Linked DNA regions of Mytilus edulis. The protein of the gene in region 1 interacts with the protein of each later gene in a biochemical or structural test. Links are inferred from orthologs where the notes say so. Each region holds a gene or a part of one and is shown on either strand. Other genes may lie near its edges. The genes, in order: methyltransferase-like protein 22 and DNA/RNA-binding protein KIN17-like.

Region 1 (9,579 bases):
TGGCGCAACATTGATATCAGAAATGTTGGCTCAATCTGCCAAGAGTGAAGAGAGCGGGAGTGGATCGTAACCCTTGGCTAGCGAAGATGTGATTATATAAGTTATTAGACAGATTGACTATGATGAAGTGTATTTGAATAAACAATTGTTGATTTATTGCATTATTTGCATTGTTTGAACAAATACCAAATTTCGTTTGGTTCAAATCAATTTTCCAACTTTGTTATATGATGGGAGATAACTCTATCTGTAAATAAACTGTTATCACAGAGATATGTCTCACCTTTTTGTAATTTTAATAATGCAAATTTTGAAATCAAAATAGCAATACTGTAACATCTTACACAAGGTATACAAACATTCAAAGCCAATGAACCATGACTGGGTTACATGGCTAAACAATCTCCATGTAAATGAGATGTCCCAATGCTAATACAACTACATGTACATACCAAATACTGTTGATTATGTTATAAGTCGTTTCCAAATCTAAATACAAAACTTAACTTGTAAACTATGTAAAAGTTTTAAAATGTCAATGAAGCATGAAGAGGGGGGGGGGGGCTATATAATCTCTGTGGAAAGCAATTTTGCGCCTGTCCCAAGTCAGGAGCCTCTGGCCTTTGTTAGTCTTGTATGATTTTAAATTTTAGTTTCTTGTGTATAATTCGGAGTTTAGTATGACGTCCATTATCACTGTACTATTATGCATATTTTAGGGGCCAGCTGAAGGACACCTACGGGTGCGGGAATTCTCGCTACATTGAAGACCCATTGGTTGCCTTCGGCTGTTGTTTGCTCTATGGTCGGGTGGTTGTCGCTTTGACATATTCACCATTTCCTTTCTCAATTTTATTGGCAAATTTGCTTACCAAATATCATTGATTTAACATTAAATGAGCAGTTCATCTTAAACTGATCTAATCTCAAACTAATACATGTAAACTAAGATAGGTTTCAAAGTCATTAGACTATGACTGAGGGTCAAGGCCAAATATTATGCATGGAAATGAGATGTGCCAATGCTTATACAACTGAATATCAATTAACATTGGCCTACCACTAATGGTTCCCCTTGAACTGACCTAATAACAAATTAATACATAACTTACAAAAAATTTCAAAGTCAATAGACCATGACTAAGGGGGCGGAGCCAAATCATCTCCATGGAAATGAGATATGCCAATGCTTATACAACTGCATACTAAATATTATTGACCTACCACTTGTGGTTCCTCATAAACTGACCTAATCACAAACTAATACATGTAAAACAAGAATGTGTCCCAAGTACACGGATGCCCCACTCGCACTATCATTTTCTATGTTCAGTGGACCGTGAAATTGGGGTCAAAACTTTAATTTGGAATTAAAATTAGAAAGATCATATCATAGGGAACATGTGTACTAAGTTTCAAGTTGATTAGACTTCAACTTCTTCAAAAACTACCTTGACCAAAAACTTTAACCTGAAGCGAACGGACGCAAACGGACAAACGGACGCACAGACGGACGGATGCACAGACGGACGGACGAAAGGAGGCACAGACCAGAAAACATAATGCCCCTCTACTATCGTAGGTGGGGCATAAAAAGGCAAAAGTTTTGAAGCTAATAGACCATGACTGAGGGAACAGGGCCACATAATCTCCATGGAAATGAGATGTGCCAATGCTTATACAGCTGCATACCAAATATGATTGACCTACCACTAGTGGTTCACCATAAACTAGACCTAATCAAAAACTTATACATTGTTGACACCGCCGCCAGCCTGAAACAGCATACCTTTGTCTCGCTTTTTGACTCTGTCAAGGCGAGACAAAAAATGATCCACCTATATTTCATAATCAATATCAATATCAGTGACTGCACTTCATAGACGGTGTCATACAGCACTGTCATAAACAGTAAATGGATACACTTGTGCAAGGCATTGAACAAACGAGCAATGAATTTGAATGTCAATACAGAAATGCAAAAGTCTACATTAACCATAACCATTTTTAAATTCTGATGTTCAATCTTGATCAATGATATACTTATGATAGAAGCTTTGCTATTTTTTAATAAGGTAATACGAGCTAAATAAGGAGATACTTGTAAGTGCAAGATAGACAAATATAAATATTAGTATATTACTAGTATACTGCTGTCATCTTTGAACTGATAATTTTGTACCATCAGATGAACATTTAAAAGTACAATTTAATACCATCATCTTTGTTAGTAAAATGTTACTAACTAAATGATAACATAGATTTTTAAAATGTTCAACAATTGAATATGGAGTAGTAACTTACTATTGTAGCCTTTTGACTGGTTACTTTGGACCTGTAGATGTACATCTGAAAGTACTAACTCATCTTTCTGCATTATTAATCTTCATTGATCACATCAGGTTACTAAAATATAAACAAATATTGGTTGTTTACACTGTTTTTTTTAGTTTTATTATGTAGGGGCAAAACACTTGTACCCAGGAAATCCACGAAAATTGGTATCCAAGGAATAATAATGAATCCACAGTATATATGTTTTATTACCAATTAAAATTATGTCAATACAGTCAAACTTTGACCTATTTTGTCCAATGAATTATGATGTCTTGAAAGGATCATATTTTTTTTGCTTTGAGGCTTTCCTGCGCAGGCGTTAACCCAGTTGAAATAGAACAACAGAATCAAAGCTCTTTGTTAGAGAAGGCGATAAATGCTTACTGTAATGTTTACTATAGAAACAAAAAAATAAAACGGCAATTTTCTTCTCAATTACGAAGTGTTTTATCTTAAAAACACCATTTGCATAAATTTTCAATTTATCTATTACATAATAATGCAGAACAATTAGATATCAAGTCGACGACATGGGTATCTTTCAAGTTGGATGTAGAAAATGCATAACCTTCGATTTAAATAAAATTTTTACCACAGACACAGAGAACATATCAATCTATTAGTTCAGTAATTTTTTTGTCTGCTCTTCCATTATGTGACTCAAGAAAAAATTCTAAAAAAATACAACTGACATAAAAGGATCGTAATGGTGCTATTTGGATAAATTTATCAGTTTTCAAGAGCAAAATTGGCAGTGCGTCATCCATACAATGGCTTTAATTTCTACGATTGTAAAAATGAAATGGTGTAATGGGGAGATAATTTTGACGAAGTAGAATCCTCAGACTGTGTGGTGTCAAATCAAGTGTCAAAGCAAAAATATATATGTCTTTAAAGATACATGCATGTATCATAATTATTTGGACTACTATTTTTGTCTGTCTTAAAGAATGATAATGTTAAATACCATGCCGCCACACCAAATTTTAATTTCATCATACATGTCTAAACATATGACAACTTTATGACATTAATAAATATTATATATATAAATACATATAATTCTAATATGACGTGCTTCTTTCGCTTTGTAAACAACACTGTGATAAAATTCTCGATATATCTATACTCAGCGCAGACTCCGAGATGTACATAATAATGGCGGTTACAATATACTTCCCACGTAAATCCACATGTATTGAAACCTATTTGCAAACCCTTTGCCGATTTTATTGTTTTAAAAATTGCAATTAAAAAAGACAAAATCACTTTTATTCTTATTCGGATGCAAAGAAGTAATGCAAAACAGCTCGGAGAAACCAGCAAAATAAAAATAAAATAAAATTCCGCGAAAGTTTATTCATGTATTTGGCGCTATCAAAGTCATTTCAAAACATGACGTCATACAAATGAAAACGCTAGCGTTGAAAGTTTTCTGTTACGTGAACCATTTAAATTTCGTTTACTATTGCATTAAAATTGATTCTCAAGGTAGGTTTTGTTTGATTTTCTATTCTATTGCATTATTCGCATATTTACTGATTTCAGCAAGTCAACATGGCGGCTCCTTAGTTAAGAACTGTCAACTTTGGATTTTACGGTAGCTTACGAGAAAAACATGTAAATCAAAATGGCAATTGTTGGTTTTGAGAATGAAACAGATTTTTTTCGGCGGTTGTTTACGAAATAATCCATGCAAGCTACGAATTTACTAGAATGTTCGAGCTTTATCTAACAGGGAGTAAAAAAGAACAGCCGCACACACAGCATACCCACCCTCGCTTCAGTTTTTTTAATGATCGTATTTGTCCTATTAGAATCGAAATAATTCATGGAAGCCATAGATTATTGGAAATTTACACATGGCCTGGGCCGTGATATTCGTTAATTTTATCCCTCGCTAACGCTCAGGATAAAATTCGAATATCACGGCCCAGGCCATGTGTAAATTTCCAATAATCTATGGCTTCCATGAATTATTTCTTAAATTACTTTACAGTCACATGTGTTAAAATCAACTACTTCAACCTCCAAATGCTGTAAAAACTTGGAAAGGGATCTTACATCACATCCTTTTTTGTTTGGGTTATTTTTCGGTTGAACATGCATACATGACATCTGGGAACAGTATATCTAACGTTAATATATATGTTACTGATGACATGTAGTTTATAAATTATTTGTTTACAGTGTTTTTCCGCTTGACAATTACGTTTCTATCCGGATCGTTTCTAAAACTAATATTCTCCGTCTGAATCATTTTGCGCTTTAAACAGTTGTTAAAGACGCTAATACAAGCGTTTATGAGAAACAGAATTTACACGTTTCCTCGAAGCAGACAACAAGAAAAACTTTGCTTATAATATCGGTAATTTACTCTGATAATTTATCAGGTTGAAACAATTATAGGCATACTATAGATCTAATAAGCTTTTAACCGACAATCATGCCAGTTTGACATAGCATGATAAATAAATCTCTTATTTTTGTAATTTGATAAAAAAAAAAACAACAAAAAAACACACTCCTGTATAAGCAAGGATTTGTATAGTAAGACTTACTATACAAATCCTTGGTATAAGACAACAAAATACATATACATGTAGATGTCTACTACTTTTGTGATTCTCTGATACATTATATTTATAAATGTTGAATTGTTCCTGGTCAGGGGACAAAGCAATTCACCAATTATTGACTGTTTTACCGCCAGTGTTTTTTTTATACATCTACATCTATTCATCTGCAATGGAAATCCGTAACACAGATACTGCTTTGCAAACGTAAACCTGCATGCTTAGTATTTCCAAAATTGGATAAAAACAGGTGGTTTCTGTTAACAGCTGCAGTCTTCTAAGTTACGTCTTATGATTTGATAGCCAGTTGAGGTGCTACATTTACAATGTATAAATCAGAAACTTCTATAGATAAAAAAATTCCCAAATGGAATTAATATTGGGGGCCAAGAACTAATTGAAACACTTCTTATACCATGTACAATTAACGTTTACTCTAGCTACATGTATTAATCAACTTTTGTAATATAATAATTAGACTATAGAGTATAGTCTATACTCTAAATAAGACACTGTCCACAATTTCCATAGAACTCCCAAGAACTGAATATTGACATTTAGTGCATGGAAATGTCATCACATTTAGATTATTGTCTCTGGGTAACAAAATATTTTTGTTTTCATCATGATCTGGTAATCAGCAACATTTTGTGCATGAGAATTGTTTTTGAAATTTGATAAAACAAAAAATGGTTCAATTAATATATATACAACTCGTCTAAACATCAACCCAACAATGTTAGATCTGTAAATTTGCTTTCACAATTTTTTTGTTCTTCCCTCGCCGGGATTTAAAATAGAATAGAATAGAATATTTTATTATTCCAATCAAGGGCCCTTGATGGGCAGCATAACATGTACACATAGAACAATACATCATGATTTGTAACAGAAAAACATTTTTATATAATAAAATGAAACATTAAAAAAAGTTCAGATAGGTGTTATTATCTTCATTCTATAAAAATCAAATACATTTAGTTCCAGGCAGGATGAGAACCATAAAATCATTACAATTATCATTGTTATTACATACATTAATTAACATTTTGTCTAACATCTAGACATGTATTATATAGATTAGACCGTTGGTTTTCCCGTTTGAATGGTTTTACACTAGTAATTTTGGGGCCCTTTATAGCTTGTTGTTCGGTGTGAGCCAAGGCTCTGTGTTGAAGGCCGTACTTTAACCTATAATGGTTTACTTTTTAAATTGTTATTTGTATGGAGAGTTGTCTCATTGGCACTCACACCACATCTTCCTATATCTATGTAATAATATAGCTCCCTAAATATTTAAGTACATACAAATTTTCATTAGTAAATAACCAAACAAATTTTGCCTCATTTGAAAGATGTATTCGAACCCATGCTACTGAGATATCGTGACACCAAATCGCCTGCACTGTAGCTGTCCCGCTAGACCACAGGACCACCTGGGCTTCATAAAAATGAAGCTTTCAGTCGCCAGGTGTTACCTCTCCATGTCAGTTTTAATCTAGGGTTGTACTATAGTACATGATATATAAGGCATGGAGATGTTATTTTTACAGATCAGCTAAATTATCTATAGTATAGAATCCTACAAATTAATGTAAGATACAGTCACAGAAAATAATTATATTTATAAGTACGTCTGAGCCAGTGACAACTCTACAACAGATTTATATATATATATACAGTGCGATTAAAAATACGTCATTTAAATTTAATAGCAGATCTGAGCCTTGAAAGATTCAGGACTCATTAGTACAGTTGGGCAAGTTGTTCCACTCCCTAATTTTTCTATGATAGAAAGACTCCTTCTTACAGTTGTTTTACATGATAAAATTATTACTGCATGTATTTTTGAAACTGTTGTTCTATTGATTATCATTAAAAGTGGCTGCGCTTTAATAAATGTATATATACAACTTGAAAACCCTTTTATTTTCATAAAAAAATAATATGAGAGGGATTTGAATGGGGTGTCACTTCACCAAATCATTAATATTGTAACGTGTTCGCTAACCGATGTGAACCTTTCTAACCAACCAAACCAACCACCAGACCAGACAGACACCAACAACAAACCAAAAGACTTGAACAGGAAATATGAACGCTCAAAATAATAACTAGTAATACTGCTGCTGTATACTGCATGTCATATAAATCTAGTTTCTTGGTCGGCGCAGTCTCCTTTTTATGTGTGTGTGTGTGTGTGTTAGACGGGTTGTATTTTTATATGTACATGTAATGCAATACAATATCACATTAGAATTTACGTTGAGGTCTGAATGTAAACACGAAATCGCTTCAAGTGTATAAAAAGTTTTATTCACCAGACATAATACACCTTATCGCTAATCCCGGCTGACCTGGCCGCTTGAACTTTTGACGCATACAACAATCACTTTTCCATTGTGGCATCAGATATTTTGTTTTATGACGTCAAAATTTTAAGGGAACCTGTGTGATATCCATTAATGGCGGACAAATAGCGATAAGGTGTATATTAATAACAACTGGAACACGAATTAACAGCTATAAATCTCTTAAAGCAGCATTCATCTGTATAGATAAGACGAACAGATAATGCTCTAAAACAGCTACACCAAAAATCAACATTCAAGAAACTCGGATTTATCAGCAACTCTCCATATAAATACATGTAAAATACTACTCAAATAAATAAGTCACAATTTCGTAACCCTCTTTCTATATTATAAAAATATAAAATGAAACAAACGGACACTTTTGCCGACTTTACGCACCTTTCTCCTATTTAAAGTTGAAATTCATTATAAAACTTTATTCTCAAAACTTATATGTATAAAGAAAACAAGAAAACTATTAAATTTCTGCCTCCATTAAAACTTGACTGGAAACTGGAACAATACACCTTATCGCTATTTGTCCGCCATTACTGGAAATCACACAGGTTCCCGTAAAATTTTGACATCATCATGATCATTAAACAAAATATCTGACGCCACAATGGAAAAGTGATTGTTGTATGCGTCAAAAGTTCAAGCGGCCAGGATTAGCGAACTGCATAAATAATTATATTGTATATAATGCAATATTCAGGAACATAAACTGCTGCTTTAGACATGTTAGAAAAACTGTACCTTGAAATTTATGAGACATGTAAATTAAGCTGCTATCCGGTGGTAGGGACAAGTTGGAACTGACGTAAAATACTATAAATCTTATGCTAGTGTTGTTATCTCGCGTGAGAGAAATTCCAAATATATAGGTAAAATTAGTGACCAAATAAGGAAACTTCCTGAAAAGGTAAATATCTTTGCACTTAACGTCTGATCAAATGACGTCATTACAGCCCTATTACTGTGAAAAGGTGCGCAACGTCAGTGCTAAAATAGTTCATAAGAAGTTATTACTCTAATTTAAATAAAACTTCCTTCTACCAAAACTTTACATAAAACACTAACCTTTATCCCTATTTTGACAAACATACAAAAATATAACTACAACATGTTCAGGACAGTCTACAAATTATACGATTTCTATTGTCACTATATTTATGATAATACTCGTGACTTCCGGTAAAAGAGAAAGTGAAAGTAATGTACAATTAATCAAGAGTTGTAGATTAGAAAACACACGTTTTCTGTCATTCTGGAACATACAATATTAAAACCATTAAACAATACATAGGTAATAATGAAATAAAATACACACATTTACTGCTTTAATAAAATAATACAAAGAATGATGGGCAGAAATATAGACAAAACAATAAATTCTATTTAAGTTAAAACATGAAGTCTCCATTATACATAAAGTATTTACCAGATTAGCTAAATAATAGTTCAACAAAATATAGACAATATCAATAAAAATTTAGGCACTGCTATCTGTCATGTCTGTCAAAAACGTCACAATATAAACACATGATATTATAGATGGACCATTATTATTATTTTGGTCTATGAATAATGATTAGGAAACAATGAAAAACAAAACTTCAGTTCACCACATGAATACAATAAGTATATATCAAAGATTCATACAGATATTATTGCAAAAAAATTATATTTATATACATGTAGGATGGAAAAAAAAACACCTTTGGTTTGGATGTCCTTTAACTGATATTCAAACGAAATGATGTCCTTCCTGGATAAGTGCACATATAAATTAACAATATTTTAGTTCACTGTTGACAACTGTTAAACTTTGTTTTTGATGCATTGATTTCTTTTATCATGTTTATACATCTGTATAATATTTGACTGATTAAGTTATGGATTTTTGAGGCAAACGCATCTAAAGTTGAAATGTTTTTATCTAAACATAATAAAAGTTCTGTATTAGCATAACTTTTTCCATTGCTTTCAAATTGAAAATGGAAATGGAGAATGTGCCAAAGAGACAACAACCCGACCATAGAGCAGACAACATGTCAAAGGATAGTTGTCAGTAACTAATAAGTCAATTACATAGATTAAGCTCAATTCTATTATTCTAAACATTTAACCAATGAACTTTAAACTTCCCCTTTATCACTACTGCTCTAAAATTTTATCCTGAAGAACATTTAAACATTATCTGTTATAATGCAATAGTATTATAAAAATAAATATAATAACTACGCATACATGTATTTAAGGATGAGCAACAAAAAGTTTTCAGAAATCTATCATAACACAATTTAACATAT
Region 2 (10,273 bases), on another chromosome or scaffold:
CACAAATTAAATATGTATGCACACATAATTTAATGAAAAAATCAGATGTTTTGATTATTTAAAAAAAACAGAAGATAGCGGATGACCTCAATCAAATTTAACAACAAACATTTACCAAAGTAGACATTCATACTTCACGTTGTGGCCTTCAACGAGCAACAACGTCAGTAAGCATATCTGAAGATCTTGTTAAACCAGATCGTAAAAGAATCTTTAACACACTTTAAAGAAGAAACTACAACGGCGTTTATAATTTTTTTTTTATGAAGCTAACTATATTATTAGAAATAAAGTTACCTTATCTGCCACTGACATTCCCCAATATGGTTCTAAGTGATGATCATCTATGTCAGCCACTGGGAAACCAAGACGTTCCCCTAGTATTCTGCCTAGTGTGGTTTTACCGGAACCTGGACTTCCCATTAATATTATATTTGGCTACAAATAGTCATTATAATATATTTGTTACACGATGAAAATATAACGTGTTTAAACAAAAACCAAGCTAGCACATAGTAAATGATTTTTGATGCCCAAAAAGTATAACTACTAAATAGTGATGAACAACAATGTTCCAAGTTATTCACCGACTGCTTCTTATATTATAATTGAACATTTATCAGTAACGTTGTTAAAATGATAAAGATGCGCATGCCGTCAACTAGACATGAGCACAACTCTGCTTATCCGTTGATTCAAATTATCATGTAGTTCTGGTCATCAAATAAAATTAACGGTACCAATTTTCTTGCACCAGATGCGCATTTCGACAATACATGTCTCTTCAGTGATGCTCGTCAAATTGTTCCATGATATACCATGTGTTTTGATGCACTTCAGTGTTTCTGTTCTTTCATTGTTTTCCTCCTATAGTTGAACCTTCCACCAGGGGGAAATACAACCAACTTCACAGGTTTTGCCAGTCGAAGCCTTCAATAGATTCCTACATTGAGCTATTCCACATCAGCTCCAAATCCACCAACTTATGGAGCATGCTAAGAAGACGCCAGTGAGACCAAAGATGGAATAAACTACGACAGTAAAGGACCCCTATCAGCAAAGTTAAAGATGAATTGGAGAAGCTTCAAAAGCGAACTACAAGATATATCAACAGCAGAAATCAAATATCATTTGTCTGCAACCTGATAAGTGATCTAGGGCTGTAAATTCTACAAATAAAGGCAACAGTAGTATACCGCTGTTCAAAACTCATAAATCCAAGGACAAAAAACAAAATCGGGGTAACAAACTAAAACTGAGGGAAGCGCATTAAATATAAGAGGCGTAAATCTGTAGCAAAATAACAAATTACCTAATAGCCATAGACAATATTAAATACACTTCAGGCCAATAAGAAGCTCCGATCGCACAGGAAATAATTCCTACCAACTACAGCTACTCATAACAGATTGTATGAAGTGTTCCCTCTGCGGAAACACCGCAAATAATTTGGAACAAACCTACAGTCTACGGATATCGCCACATATATGTCCCTCAATCCACACAACTTGAGATGGTGCTAGCCATGTGTGAGAACTCTGCAATTTTCAGGGTCGAACTCAATTCTCCAGACATATTTACAAACAGGTTAGATCTAAACGTACTGACTTTGGATATGTATTTTAAGTGATCCAAAGAGTTGACGCCGTTGATGTTTTGTGGGAGTGAATTCCGCAGGACAATTGTGAATGGAAAAAACTGTACTTGAAGTAATCTGTTTTGGAGCTGAATGTTTGGTTATTAAAGTGAATTGTTGAATCTTCTTTTTTTTTTACTGAAAGGTAAATGTATACTGATATAAGCCTTTGGGTGTTATTTTGTACATCATTTTTACTCAATTGATGTATCTGCAAGTTTCAAGTCATTTCATTTGTAAGATGGTCAATCATGGAAGTGGCACTACTGGTGTCATGGTACCTGTTGGTGACGTAGAGTGCTGCTATTCTTTGTACATTTTCAATGTTTCGTGATGGTACTATGTTTATATCATTTTACAACAGATACATGTAAGAGACCTTGGTCCAGGACAACATATGAATTTGTAAATGATATTCCTAGCCTAGTAAGGTCTTAAAATAAATAATAATGCAACAGACAGGTATAGGCTGAAAATTAATATTCTGTCTCACAAAATACTGGAAATAGCAAAGCCTGGCGAAATAAATGAACCCGCATTGCAGTTGATGTGAAAAATGAATTTTCTTTCCTTGAACAATTATTTTGGTCTTCATCTGAGATGAAGCAGCAGAAACCTCGTATAACTCTTAAATACATTGTTTCGAGACTGACGCATATGACGGAGTTTCAAGGCTTTCGTTTATTTTTAAATCAAAACTATCTTGTACATAGCTGTTGTTGTCTTCAACGGTCAATGTATTTCATGGAAAGCATATAAAACAAATATCAGCCAAAGAACTTAACAGCTGGGTCCAGAGTTAAAGGGCTCTCTTCTTCTTCCCGTTACGAGTCGGACTATGTAGTAAAGTGTAATTGACTTGGGCGCATCTCAAACAGACAGGAGGCCACTTCTCTGGCCAAAAGTAAAAAAAACCCCAAACAAATGGACGATATTTACAATAGAATATTGATCTTAATTACATCTATGTACACTGGTTATCCTGCTGTCTATTTCAGTTGTGGCTGGGTCCAGCCTGAGGGGATGGTATTCACTCTGGCCCTGAAATCTTCTAGAGATCCGGACTCCACTACAGATTCGGGGAGTTTATTCCATTCTCTAGTTGTTTTTGGGAAGAATGAGTGGTAGTAGACATCCCTCTTCACTTTAGTTTGTCTAAGTTTGTGGTTGCCCCTGGCCCTAGTGTCCACTGTTGTGTAGTATTTGGCTGGATCAATGGCAATCAACTGGTGTTGAGTCTTATAACACAGCACCAGACTCTGTTTCCATTGTCTGTGCTGCAGTGATTCCCATTGAAGTTGGTCCAGTAGCTTGGTAACACATCCAGCTCTCGGCTGAGTTACTACACTGTTAGCGTAAACTATCAACAGTATACATGTGTATGTAAAAGAAAATTGACGTAACATATTTTCCTTTCAGGCAATCAATAAGAGTAACAGACTGTTAATAAAAGCAGTGGAAATAGACTGAGATGAATTTAGCAAATGAAGCAGTGTATGTGTATATACATGGTATAGGTATACACTTGTCAAGTCCATTTTATTATGATTACCTGTTTACCACCTGATTTAGTAGAAAATATTCTGTAAGGTAATTTGCAACCCAAACACCAGCTGATTCCATTCTGTGCTGGTCTGAAAAGTCTGTTGTGGCATTTTAACAAATTTAACAACGATTTCTGAAATTTCATGTTGTTTACTATTTCGGCTTTACTAAATAACTAAATCACCACAGGACATGGACACGTATGTGTGTGCTTAGTCTAAATAGATTACATAGTTTTTCAACTAAGTATATATCTCAAGACGATTACAGTTATTGACTATTAAAAATTAGGAAGCAAGGCTTCGAAACATAACTGTGATGTAAGAAGTAAATTGTGATATTAAATTAAAGTACAGACTAGCGTAACAATATAGTCATAAATATATTATGAGCAAGCCAACGGGAATAAGAAGTGAACTAAAATAAAACCGTATAAAGGACTATATTATATCATGTCTAGAACTATTATAAGAGATCTATCATGGGTAATCACATCATCACAATTGTTTTAGCAAGTAAAATCCCATAATCATTAAATAGTTTTTTTTTTAACAAGATGATAATCAAAAATTCAGTCCGCTTAGCCTCAGTGATTATCAAATAATCAAATAATCATTAAATATTCGGTCTGGTAATCAAATAATCACTATAAAAACGGTCAAGTAATCACATAAACAACGGAAAATTCTGAAGCGGAACAGAATTAATTCTGACGAACCTAATTCGTAAAGCCGGGCCAATATAAAATCAATGCGAAGTGCATGAACTACATTAATAATCTATCTTAAAAAAAAATATTATACGCTAGTACGTATCCTAAACTTATTTCACAAATACTGAAAACCTCCTTTCACCCGTAGTGATAAAAGGGTTGCGTTATTTTTTTTGGTAATATTTATTGATCAATTTATTATATTGTACACTACATTATGTTGCTCTTGTTGCACACAATGTGTGCCTTGGTGTATTAATAAACTTGTCTTGTTTTGTCATAATAAATAACTAAGTTGAAAAGAAACCCACAATATTTTTTTCTTTTAAAGCCGGGACGTCACTTGAAGATCTACATGCAGCATTTTTTCTATGTTGTAACTAGAACAAAGGAGACACCCGCACTGAGGGTAAATGAAATTCGAAGTACAACCTCATTTGCAAAAAGAAAAACATACCGCGAGACTAACAGATTGGCAACAGTCCATCATTAAAACGATTCACAGCCAATTTAAGTTTGAGATTGAATCATCAAAGCGGGGATAAACTCATCTGCTCCTTAGGAAGGCCAAGCAGCTTACAGTTCTCTCAGTTTTAATAGCAAAATTTGCATATTTAAGTTAACGTTACCACTTAATTATTAGTGACTGTTTGACATTGCTAAATCGACTCAGTGATACATATAACAAAAGAAGATGTGGTATGATTGCCAATGAGACAACTCTCCACAAGAGACCAAAATGACACAGAAATTAACAACTATAGCCTATAGGTCACCGTCCGGCCTTCAACAATGAGCAAAGCCGATACCAAGTTTCAAAGTTTTTTTTATTTCTTAAAGACTTCAACAGGGGTATGTGAACAATAAAAAATACTACATTTATAAGTATTCATAATATAACAAAATAACAAAGTATCAAAGTATTAAATGCAGTGAACATTATAAACATTCATTACATGTAACATATATATATACATTTGAAAAAGTAATGTATAAGTCAAATGGACATATTAATGGTTGAAACAATTTTAGTTTAATTAACAACAGCTAGTACAATTTAAAAAAAAATAAAAAAATTTAAGAACAACATTGTAAGAGTCAGAATTAAATAACTCATACAATTTTTACCACACAGTAAGCTATAAAAGACCCCGAAATGACAATGTAAAACAATTCAGCCGAGTGTGTATATATAACACTTTAACATTTCATTTTTTTTTTTGCTTTCTTTTAAAAGTTTGTTTAATGATATATGTAAAACTTGCATGGATATAAATCTAATTTGAAATGTTTATCCCCGGCCGTATAGAGGCCGCCGCATGAGAAGTTTGGTTTTCACGTTGAAGTATCCATCTTTATAAATACGAAAACTTTGCAACCACTGAAAATTAATCAAAGTCTTTCTAATCAGATTTTAGAATTTGCTCTTTACATGCTCATAGTAAACACCGTCAGCAATCTGTAATACATGTACTGTGAAAATGAGATTTAAGAAATTAATATCATCTGTAGATGTGACTTATGCATTGGCCTAGATGTACAATAAATTTTATATCATGTCCATTATCCCTGTCACCCATCCTTATCCTTTTGATTTTTTGTTAAATTTGTACTCTTCTTGAATATGAATGAACAATGTCATTGTGGAGTTATGCTGTTCATATAAACAGACCATAGCATGCATAAAAAAATATCGGTCCGGATTTAGTCGTGTCCTTGTCCATCGCTTGACTTTGCTATTTATTCGTAATAGTTTGTTTCCGGTTTCTAGTTTGACTTTTTTCGAATTATTTTGTCATCGACTATTTTTTATATTAATAGCTTTTTTATATCAGGAGTTAAGAATGGGGTAAGATATTTCAAGATTATCATTGAAGCAGGTTGGTTTATTTTTCATAGTGCCGTGAAAATTCGCGAAGACTTGAGTGAAGAGTAAAATAAAAATATGACAATTAAATTTTGATTTTAACTTCTCATTTACAAAAATGACAACGAAAATGACAAACTGTAATTTGATTTTAAGAGTGCCCCTTGTGTACGGTATCAGGTCCGTTTTCTTTCAAGACACATTCACACCCTACATGTCTACATGTTTGCACCCCACAGGTTCGACTCCTAGCCCTAGGAGGCAATGTCTGTTAGCCCCCAATTTTATTCAATTACCTATGATTTTTAAAATGTATCTATTAAAATATTGATAATGGGTCTCATTTGGGTCTAAGCATGAGGCAGGATTGCCGATATTTGTATCAGTGAACTCAGTGACACATGAAATATAAATTATTGTGCCGTGAAAAACGTTGAAATAAGTGGGACACGGGAAATTGCAAAAAAATGAAAACTGCTTACGTACATAGTGTAAGCGTGATTTGGAATATGACAAAACAGTTAGCAGGATCCGAGATCAGAACCCCCAATGAGACACCCTTGATACATGTGATACATGTACATAAAATGATGTACATAATTTAAAGTACAAAATTTCGTGAATTTATTAAATGAAATATTTTTTTTTTGTGACTAGATGATTAATTATTAATTTGTTTATGATTTAATTGTTACATGTATTCAAAAAGTAATTTGGTAATATTGATAAGGTACCTTGAATGACCGAATAACACCGTTTTTATCTAAATAACACTTGTAATGACCAAATAACATTTGAAATTTAAATATTAGCACATTTTAGTTACTTTTAAACATTCATTATTAAATAATAGTATACAGTGTTCTCCCCAGGCCGTTTTAGCGTCCCGGTACCGCGACGCTATATTTTTTCACCGTGATGCTATAATAATTTCCGCGACACTATAATTATTCCTGCGACGCTATAATTATTCCCGCGACGCTATAATTATTTTGAAGATGCTATTTTACCTGTCCTCAATTTCGTACTTTCATCTACATGTATTATCGATTATGATCATAAAAATTATATCACCTTTAATTGTAATCCCTTTAAGTCGGACATTAGAGGCAATTAAGAGGTTAAATAGCTAGGTGTTAATTGCCCTCAGGGTGATAACTGTTTAGATGCAAATATCCCAAGCTGACACTTGTGACATGACTAATACACCAATTTCGACATGGAAAAATGCAATCATATTAAGAAATTTCAAAGCTTGAAACGATTATTATTTTTTTTTAAAAGATCGTTTATTTGTGCAACTCTCCAAAAATTACTTTCTTTCTCTTCCGGTAATACGAGAGCGAGAATTTTGGTTTACAGCTAAGATAAGTTTAATACTTCTTTAAAACGTTATCATAATTGGCTTAAGTTTATGTTTAATCCATTTAATGTATTAAAAGCGTCTTATTCATTCACAATCTCTTGTCAAACAATGTTTATTCTCGGACTCATTTTCATAAATTTTTCTACGGCCGCCATTGCACATTTTAGTGTAAACTACGGAGAGGAACCGGATGAGATATGACAAAAATCCGCATTTTCACGATAATGACAACAGATGGACAGTAGACAGAAAAAAATATACCAAGAGGGAAAACTACGCATTAACAGACTATTTGTTAGATAACTTTGTTAAAAATACATATCATTTTAATGTAAAGATAAGAAACTACTGGGACTAATTCATTGAGTGCCATCATGGCCATGAAACAATGAATTTCATAAACATGATAAAAAAAAAGTTTTAAATTGATTTTTTTTGGCTACTTTATCTTTACTTAATATAATATAAAAAATAGTTAATTTTGTGTACTAGATATTTAGTTTTGTATATATACAGGTTGCACTATAGTTATAATGAACCATTCATTCATTTGACTTATTGTTGGGTAACTGAAACCACATATTTATTTTTGTTTGGCACAAAAGAAAAAAAATAATTCTGTAACTATAAATGAATAAAGAAATTATTATATATAATATAGTTTAATTGTATTCTCAGTTATGAATTGAACAATATAAACTAAAACATATAAAGGAAATAGAGCATCAACGCGACGCGTTAAATGACATTAAAAAAAATACAGTTATTTTTTTTTACGCAAAATGTGATGCTATCCAAAATTTCTGGGGAGAACACTGGACTATATTATAAAGGTTTTTATAACTTAAAAATGATAAATAAAAAGCAAGTGTTCTTAAATGAGTGCATTTGCTGGGTTTAAACTCTCAACCTCAGTGTCGACTGATAGTGATTAACTGATTACATATTAGTATACCTACTTAGACCACTTGGCCACCAAGGTCCCTAGTATGCTTTAAGTTTAAAAGCAAAGTTTCTGGTAGAGGACTAAGAGGAGGAAGATAAAGACTAGCTAACAGGTCTACATTGTTAACTTTTAATATTGATGTTAAGAAATTGAAGATTACTGATTTGCAATTTATGATGTTATTTGGTAGTTTGTTCTTACATTTTTTTTTCTTAGGAAAATGTTATTTGGTAGTTTGTTCTTAGGAAAATAAGATTCTTTTCTGTACTTTGCATGCAATCTTGTCGTTCTTGTTTTTTAACTGTCCATGTATTTATTTCAGGATTATTTGTTTCTTCTGTTGAAATAGACATAAAAAATGGGAAAAGAAAAGGGAGGATTCCTGACACCAAAGGCAATTGCCAACAGAATAAAATCCAAAGGTTTACAGAAATTGAGATGGTATTGCCAGATGTGTCAGAAACAGTGTAGAGATGAGGTAAAATTAAAAAAGAAGGGACAGTTCAAGGGAACATGTAAATGAAATACACTTTAATGTCTTTTGTTAAAATAATACATTGTATAAACAATGTTATTTCCTACAGGAACCCCTTTTACAGCGTAAAATGTGTGCCACATGAACTTTCCTATAGAAAATCCTTTATATTTTCAGATTCTTCTTAAAAGTACATGCACTCCTTAAAGTTACTGTCATCCCGTACACTAGTTTGTAGATCTACTCAGGCTCTGTGTTGGTTGTTTATCAATGACAAGATCCTGTAAACCTCTGCAACAAACTAAGATCAATGAGCTTGTGGTCATCAACTACTGAATGAATATTTTGTGTCAATAATACATTATATATTCATAATGAATATAAAAAACTTATGTATGCATGTATGGTTCATTAATTTCAATAACGTTATAACATGTATAACTACAAAAAAATGTTTCATATGAATTTTAAACTCTTGCCTATCATATGAATTTGCTGACCAAAACTGTAATACAATGTATATATCTTACTGTTGGATTTATAATGATTATTAATATTACAGAATGGGTTCAAATGTCACACAATGTCAGAATCACACCAGCGTCAGTTGCTATTATTTGCTGAGAGTCCAGATAAATATATAGATTCATTTTCAGAGTAAGTTGTAATATCAGAAATTGTATGATAATATAAATCATGAAATCATTATTGTACCAAGAAACAAAATTGCAGCACCAACATTAACTTTATTCTTTGAACAGATATGAAATCACATGATTTTTAGTTTTTCTTGCAAGAGACAAGGATTTATTTAATTTAGTGTTGGCTTCAGCTCTTTTAAATCTTTATAGTTCAGAAGGTATGAGTCTAGTCACCTATTCACAAGAGTTCAAATGTTGAAGATATAAGCAATTATATGTCATCATAAGGCATTCCACAGTGAGAAACACCCATAAAAAATTGTAGTCCAGCAGTACTTTGAATTAATAGGTAGCAAAAGGATGGACATGAGAAGCATTGTTTTCCAATTCCACAGACCCTTAATTTCTAGTTGAAATTTCCTTACATGTACATTTGTATGAATGCTGAATTTTTCATTGTTGATAAGAAAAAAATAATATGTATTTTAAAAATAATATGTATTTTAAAAATAATATGCATTTTAAAAATAATATGTATTTTTTTCAAGTAACTTATTATTTTCTATTATAGAGACTTTTTTAATGACTATGTGGAGTTATTGAAAAGACGATTTGGTAAAAAGAGAGTAAATTGTAATATTGTGTATCAAGAGTATATAGCATTCAAAGAACACACACATATGAACAGTACACAGTGGGAAACTTTAACAGAATTTGTCAAATGGCTTGGACGAGAAGGTAAAGTTTACACATAACATGCACACAATTACATGTACATACAAGTCTCATAGAAGAATATGTGTGTGCACTATTTTTTATGTACTTTTATAAAAGAAAAGGTATCATTCTTTTGTAGTTTATTACTTCTGAGCAGTTTACACAAAATTTTAATGAGATTGTCAAATGACTGGAATGAATTGTTGAAGTTTTTATGTCTTTCTGTCTCCTTCTGATGTACACCAATTAGCCTTGTTCATTCCTGTATTTACAGAGATCTTACAAATGACAAGATAATATAAAAATCTACTAACAGCAATGCATAAAACTTAAAGAAATAATCTAAAACTGTTTTATCCTGTATTATT

The links.
Region 2: of the proteins of methyltransferase-like protein 22 (region 1) and DNA/RNA-binding protein KIN17-like, one has a biochemical effect on the other in vitro, tested with the Homo sapiens proteins (2 studies listed by BioGRID). The link is inferred for Mytilus edulis from reciprocal best matches to the Homo sapiens genes METTL22 and KIN.

What each region holds. Positions count from the first base shown.
Region 1 is NC_092352.1:3,180,847-3,190,425, reverse strand, and holds the start of methyltransferase-like protein 22, read right to left. Parts: upstream 4,566-9,579; 5' UTR 4,526-4,565; exon of another isoform or gene 4,330-4,525; intron 4,252-4,329; exon of another isoform or gene 4,114-4,251; intron 2,407-4,113; 5' UTR 2,378-2,406; coding exon 2,305-2,377; intron 1-2,304. UniProt on the Homo sapiens protein: Protein N-lysine methyltransferase. Trimethylates KIN at Lys-135 (in vitro).
Region 2 is NC_092344.1:36,394,558-36,404,830, reverse strand, and holds the start of DNA/RNA-binding protein KIN17-like, read left to right. Parts: upstream 1-5,635; 5' UTR 5,636-5,742; intron 5,743-8,394; 5' UTR 8,395-8,430; coding exon 8,431-8,550; intron 8,551-9,109; coding exon 9,110-9,204; intron 9,205-9,759; coding exon 9,760-9,926; intron 9,927-10,273. Other genes in the region: threonine synthase-like 1, read right to left, coding at 298-438, 3,189-3,326. UniProt on the Homo sapiens protein: Involved in DNA replication and the cellular response to DNA damage. May participate in DNA replication factories and create a bridge between DNA replication and repair mediated by high molecular weight complexes.